Linked DNA regions of Yarrowia lipolytica. The protein of the gene in region 3 interacts with the protein of the main gene of each other region in a pairwise test. Links are inferred from orthologs where the notes say so. Each region holds a gene or a part of one and is shown on either strand. Other genes may lie near its edges. The genes, in order: YALI1_C07117g, YALI1_F12874g and YALI1_E11341g.

Evidence for each region.
Region 1: the proteins of YALI1_E11341g (region 3) and YALI1_C07117g interact in a two-hybrid assay, tested with the Schizosaccharomyces pombe proteins (2 studies listed by BioGRID, with this or other methods). The link is inferred for Yarrowia lipolytica from reciprocal best matches to the Schizosaccharomyces pombe genes tfs1 and tvp15.
Region 2: the proteins of YALI1_E11341g (region 3) and YALI1_F12874g interact in a two-hybrid assay, tested with the Schizosaccharomyces pombe proteins (2 studies listed by BioGRID, with this or other methods). The link is inferred for Yarrowia lipolytica from reciprocal best matches to the Schizosaccharomyces pombe genes tfs1 and ndk1.

What each region holds. Positions count from the first base shown.
Region 1 is NC_090772.1:710,666-712,510, forward strand, and holds YALI1_C07117g (uncharacterized protein), read right to left. Parts: upstream 1,050-1,845; coding exon 645-1,049; downstream 1-644. Other genes in the region: YALI1_C07109g (uncharacterized protein), read right to left, coding at 1-264. UniProt on the Schizosaccharomyces pombe protein: Golgi membrane protein involved in vesicular trafficking.
Region 2 is NC_090775.1:1,286,605-1,288,569, reverse strand, and holds YALI1_F12874g (uncharacterized protein), read right to left. Parts: upstream 1,166-1,965; coding exon 641-1,165; downstream 1-640. Other genes in the region: YALI1_F12871g (uncharacterized protein), read left to right, coding at 1,300-1,329, 1,376-1,965. UniProt on the Schizosaccharomyces pombe protein: Major role in the synthesis of nucleoside triphosphates other than ATP. The ATP gamma phosphate is transferred to the NDP beta phosphate via a ping-pong mechanism, using a phosphorylated active-site intermediate.
Region 3 is NC_090774.1:1,132,895-1,135,627, forward strand, and holds YALI1_E11341g (uncharacterized protein), read left to right. Parts: upstream 1-1,179; coding exon 1,180-2,067; downstream 2,068-2,733. Other genes in the region: YALI1_E11351g (uncharacterized protein), read right to left, coding at 2,168-2,202, 2,654-2,733. UniProt on the Schizosaccharomyces pombe protein: Necessary for efficient RNA polymerase II transcription elongation past template-encoded arresting sites.

The DNA.
Region 1 (1,845 bases), on a different chromosome or scaffold from region 3:
AACCATACGATGCTTGAGGAAAATCGCGCCCAAAACTGCTCCCTTGTGCTTTCCAACCTCGTACTGCTCAACCGTGTCATCACGTGACAGCTTCCACAGCTTTACCAGTCCCTCCAGATCGCCTGAAAGAACCTCCTTGTCTGCACTCAAATCACACGCCAGAACCGGGCACGAGTGTCCAATCAGCTGGATCGACGTTTCTGTCACGTGATCTGACGCAACATGCGTCGACAGTTCGGTTTTCGGCTTCTTGACCAGCGACATGGTTGTGTATTTTTGTATTAGAGCTCATGACAATATCGAGATGGAATATCTTGGTGGTGTGCATATATGCTGCAGTAGGGTAACTGTTGGGTTTTTTGAAGAAATGGGCAAGTTTTTGGTATCAAAATGGCCGCCTTAATGGGGCGACAAAAATGGTGCCAATTATTAAACGGATGGGGTTTGATTTATTTAGATTATATATGTTTGTAGCAACAGTCGAATGAAGGTATTTCAAAACCTTATTTAGAAGATGTCAATATATACGAATGTTGGACCATTAAATTAATAATATCCCTCCTAAATTTGGGTAGACAGGGTCCATGGAAGGAAGAGAGCCACTTTTCATCATCTATTATCACATATGTATGTCACTTAGTGCTCTACACCTCCTCCATGTAGTCTAAGGGCTCGTTTCGCATGTTCTCAGGAGGTTCGATGGAAGGAATGAACTCCAGCACCACAAAGAGAGCGCCGATTCCGAAAATAATGAACGAAATGAGGTATCGGAAGAAGCCACCAGACATGAGAATGGCGGCAATCAGAATGTACAGAATACCTCGCCCCACGAATGAGAAGAGGAACGAGCCGTACTTATGTGCCACTGGGGGGGTGGCAAACTCGAGAGATGCAATTGAGTAACCAAAAATGATAAGATAGAATGAGAGGAGAATCTGCGTTAGTAATGGAACTGGGTTGCCAAAGGTTGGGACGACAACAATCGATGAAGGGCAGTATCCATGGCGAGGAGGCCATGAGCGAAGCACATCAGAATGAGCAACAGTCATTGCCAGGCTGAATAGTACGTCTGAATCAATAGCACGCCAGAGGGGATAGCACGCCAGAGGGGATAGCACGCCAGAGGAGATAGCACGCCAGAAAACTACCAACGATGTGAAACAAGACAGATCGTGAGAACGATCCCATTGAACCAGCAGGAATAGAGGACTTTGCTGGAGACAAGGTTCGATTCTCTGCAGCCCATCTGTGGTATCTGTTTTCTCGTTTCTGTTGTCTTGTTCCGGTTCATTGTTGTTCCGTTGGTGCTCATCATATTGCTGGTATCGCTGAGTGCTCCGGCACAGTCTCGATAGGTGCTCCGACACAGTCTCTCGTGATTGCCATTTCCACTGATGTCTTCAGCATATCAATTATGTTGGGCTATCGTATCAGTGGCAACCATCGCTGTCATTGTCCGTACAGTACTCACATCTTGTCTGAGTTAGTATTGAAGAGGTAGCAAGTCCAGCTGGCCCGATTGAGCTATGATTTAAGGGATTGTGAACAGCAGCCTTTAGAAGCATTCAGTCAAGTGCTTCTAAAACACCTCTGAAATGTAGTGCCAACAGTGTGATGCGCAACGTGTGTGGATGCCGTATCATCACGTAGACAGAGTACCTGTATCTGAGGGTCCCCTAACAGCCACTGTCGTCACAAAAAGACACCCAAGCGCCGCTGTATCGCCAATCCCACACAATGTTGTCGCTCAAGCCCTCAATCTCCAGTCACTGCTCCGACTTGCCCCCTACCCGCGCCCATACCGTGTACTCACAAACTAAGACCCAACTGAGTCAGTCCTCCAAC
Region 2 (1,965 bases), on a different chromosome or scaffold from region 3:
GAATGTGTCATTTGGATACTTACAAAATCAGCAGCTCTGCCTACCCACAAGTATGTACAGTACATACAGTAAGTACAAGTACAGTATATACTTTTTTTTGTTTTACAGTATATAATATATATATATATATTTTAAAGTATGCAATACAATCTCAACAAAAGTTTCAAACAAGTATCCTGAACTTTTAGCAATAAACAATACTGTCAATTATGAAAACTTGTTTAGAAGTCGCTCTTTACCTATCAATCGAACCACTTTCCAAAACTCTGGCATTTCTGGAATGTGCAAAATGAACCCCCAGCCGAATATTTTTCTCAACTAATTTGTAACAAAGGTAAACAAAGTGAGCAGAAAGAACATATGGCCCAACACAAGCAAGAAACATGCTGGCGAAAATTCCTCCTGCACGAACATTGTACGCTCGTGGTTGAAAATGTCTAATATGGAACTCGATCAGCTCTGGGTTGCTTAATCATCCAATGTGGATCAACACGTGAAATGACAGGCGACCATCAAGGTTACACGTGTCCAATGGAGATGGCTCCTTCCATGACGGCTACAAGAAAACTACTAGACAATAGTCCGCAACAAGTACACTCTTCACTGCGACACATACAAGATATTAAACTATACAAATAGCTTACTCGTAGATCCAGCCAATGTTGGCAGGGGTGTAAGAGGCGAGCTCCTCGGGCTTGAACCAGATGCCGATCTCCTTCTTGGCAGACTCAACAGAGTCGGAACCATGGCAGACGTTTCGGCCAATGTCGATGGCGTAGTCGAATCGGATGGTACCGGGGGCGGACTGGAGGGGGTTGGTAGCACCGAGGATGTTTCGGCCCTGCTTGACAACATCCTTACCCTCCCAGACGGTGGCAAGAACGGGGCCAGACTGCATGTACTTGAGCAGAGAGGGGAAGAAGGGCTTCTCCTGGAGGTCCTCGTAGTGCTCTCGGAGGAGCTTCTCGTCGGGGTTGGTCAGCTTGATGGCGACAAGCTTGAAACCTCGCTGCTCGAATCGGTGGAGGATAGGAGAGATGAGTCCTCGCTGGACACCGTCGGGCTGGGTTAGTGGTTGTTTGGGGGAGCTTGGCGGTCGACCATTGTTGGCGCCATGGTCATGTGTCGGAGGTGTGTTGATCTGTCCATCTCGCTGACACGACATCAATCTCAAGACACTTCAATCGGATCAATTCAGCAATTGACACACAACAAATCCCTGCCGTCGACTCCTTCACCCTCGCTTCTTACTCACCTTGATGGCAATAAAGGTCTGCTCAGTGTTAGACATTTTTGTGGATGATGTGGAAAGAAAAAAGAAGAGGAAAAGTACAAGCCCTCAACTTTAGTGGACCTGTAAAATTTTCAGGGTTAGGGTACTCGTGGGGGTGAAAAGTCACGGCTGGTCCTCCTGTCCCGGTGGGTCGCCGTACGTGATCTGAGCTTATACTGGACGAGACGAGGAGACCAATTGGACATCAATGGGACCCGTGAAACGTCAACTGAGTCACGTGACCGAACCCTCTCTCGATTGCGGCTCTGGATCCCGTCTTTTGCCGCACCTTTACCCCTACCGCTGCTGTTTTTAGGCTGGTTTTTGGGTCTCCTGGGTCCCGGTCAACAAGGGTCAAAAAGGGTCAAAAAGGGGCACTTCCACAACATTCCAAAACTCTGTTTGCACGTGCCCTTTTTTGGATGGAAACACACGAAAGAGGGTGTGGCAAGTGGGTATCCTGAGGATCAGGCGGTGGTTTTGGTGAGTTCCATGAGCTTGGAGACCCGACGTACCTGTTTTTCAGCATTTTCGCCCAAGTTTTTCCAGTTTTTTCCACACTCCCAAAAGACAACAGCAAATATGGAGACAACTCAATGTGCATTGCCATGGAGGAGTTGTATCGCTGATGGTACAAGTACGAGTACACGCACCGTACGAAGACAACGTATACGGGCCATATCTGTCACGTG
Region 3 (2,733 bases):
GGAGTGTTTATATCAAATTTTCAGAGTAATTTTATCAAAAATGAGGATTCTAATGTGACGTTGTTGTTGCTAACAAGGAACCTTGTTTCGAGTGCTGGCAGCATGGGTGGGGGAGTTATATAAGGGCGAATAATGTGTGTGTTGGTATGGAAATAAGTGTTTTGGTTGATTTATTTGGCAATTTGGGACTGTTTAATTGTGTTGTTGAAGTATCAGAACTCTGCACTCGAAGTTGAGTATTTTATATTTTCCCTTATCCATGATATGATGTTTACTTGAGACAGTGCGAGGACGACTGCAGTATGTACTGTACAGTACTGAACTGTACTTGTACTAAGTACTCGTAAGTAATTTAGTTGGGATGGCAAAGTACATGGCTTCCGAAGGACATGGCAACGCTTGAGGATACACTGAGTACTTAAAGGTGGAGTAGTGCGGTCAAATTTCGAATCAGAACTCGCTCAGATGATGTTTTTTGTTGTTGGTTTTTTAGAAACGTTTTTCTTTGGTTTTTTGGAGACGTTTTTTTGTTGGTTTTTTGGAAACGTTTGTCTGTCGACTTGAAGCTCAGTTGACATGCGTTGCCGGTTTAGACTGTGCAACGCAACAGCAGCACCCGGAGATATATCGACAAGATAACTTTCGAAGCTTGTCGTCAGACTCATTTGCTCACGTGACACACACTCCTTTGCTCATTAGGCCGTCGTCAATACGCCCAGGACTCTCCTGACAGTGATCAACAACTTATCTGCGCCAAAGATCTACAAGTCTCACCTGAGTTCGCTCATAACCTGTACTGTAGGTTAAGTCCGTTTAAATTGATTACGCCGATGTACCCAAGTACCGGTAGTCCTACAAGATAGGGCGTCCAGTAGCAAGTGTGAAGTCTGCGCATGCTGAGAGCTACCCAGGGTAATTATGGGGTCGTCGTACCCACCGCACGCCCTTACAATCCACAAACAGGCTCTTAACCTGAAAATGCCGGATATATACGTCTCTGGCCCAATCTCCAACCACCTCCAACCACCTCCACCATAGTAATATCACCGTGCATATTGCTGTGCCAAAATTTCGTCTCGGGCAAAAATAAAGTTTCACATTGGAAGCAGTCTCACGCGAACAATTCAGCACTCGGTCGAGACATCATCTCTGTAAAGTCATCATCACATCACTACCATCATGGGACTCAGTGTTGCGGAAATCAAAAAGCTGATGGCTGACCTGGAAAAGGCCAGCGGCGAGGCGGTATACGACATTCTGCAGGTGTTGCACAAGGAGGTGGAGCCTACGGAGAAGCTGCTGCGAGAGACCAAGCTGGGTATTGCCGTCAACAAGCTGCGAACCTCCAGCGACAGCCGGATCTCGGACCTGGTCAAGAAGATGATCAAGTCGTGGAAGGACACGGTGACGGCCCAGAAGAGAGACGCGTCCAAGAAGGTAGAGGGCAAGAAGGAGACCAAGGAGGAGAGCCGACCGGTCAAGTCCAGCTCTGCGTCTTCTGGTAACGCCACTTCGTATACGCCTCCTTCGGGCCAACGAACCCCGGCCAAGGACGGTGTGTCTACAGAAATCTACTCGGACAAGGTGCGAAACCGGTGCATCGATGTAACCTACACTGCGCTGGCTGTCGGCATGACTGCGCACCCCAATGAGGTGCTCGCCTGCGCCAAGGCCATTGAGAATGAGGTGTACAAGATGGAGAACGGCACCGGCGGCAACTACCGCCCCAAGATGCGATCTCTGTACATCAACCTCAAGGACCCAAAGAACCCCGGTCTGCGAGGCAACGTCATTTCGGGCAAAATTTCGGCCGAACGACTGTGCCGAATGTCGCCCCAGGAAATGGCGTCCGACGAGCTCAAGAAGGAGATTGAGGAGATGGAGAAGCAGAACCTGTTTGCTGCTCGAGGAGCCACGGAACAGAGAGCCGTGACGGACCGATTCACATGCGGCAAGTGCAAGCAGAAGAAGGTCAGTTACTACCAGATGCAGACGAGATCTGCAGATGAGCCGTTGACCACGTTTTGCACGTGCGAGAACTGTGGTACGAGGTGGAAATTCTCCTAAGCTGCCGTTGGTGGCGATGACGTGGGTCGCCTGTGCCATGGGGGAGTGGACGGAGGAGTGTGTCCATATTGGAGTGCTTTTGGAGTGCTAGACAGAAGAGCTATGTCTGTGACTGGCTATCTTCGCAATCGAGTTCTGTGAATTCGCAAAAGGGGAGTGTATATAGTTAGATAGGTTATGTATTGTTAGGTGTTAGGATACACTGATTGGAGGTTGAGTGTTTTACCAGTGGCAGTGTGTGTAATAGTTTCAGATGGTCTACCTGTATATTTGTGCTCTGGCACGCGATATTCACTACAACTACCGTATGTACTCTGTAACACAAACAAATACCGCATTTGATGGACAGTATCCTGTTGTACTTGTGCTGGTTGATGAGTGGAAAACACCCAACTATTAGTTGATTATGAAATACAATTTAGTTAAAAAGTAGTTGAGATTAGGAGGCGTATCAAGAACTACTGGAGCTTGGGGTTGGTCAAAAATGTATTGTTTTGAGAGAGTTATAAAACGTCTACATAGTACTGATAATACTCTAGAGGATCCCTGGGGTTCGATTGTAGATGATCGGAAACCCATTAGCAACCACCACAGTTGGGGTCACCGCACTTGGGGCAGTGCTTCTTCTGGGTAGGAGTAGGAGCACAGGGCTTGGCATCGATGGCG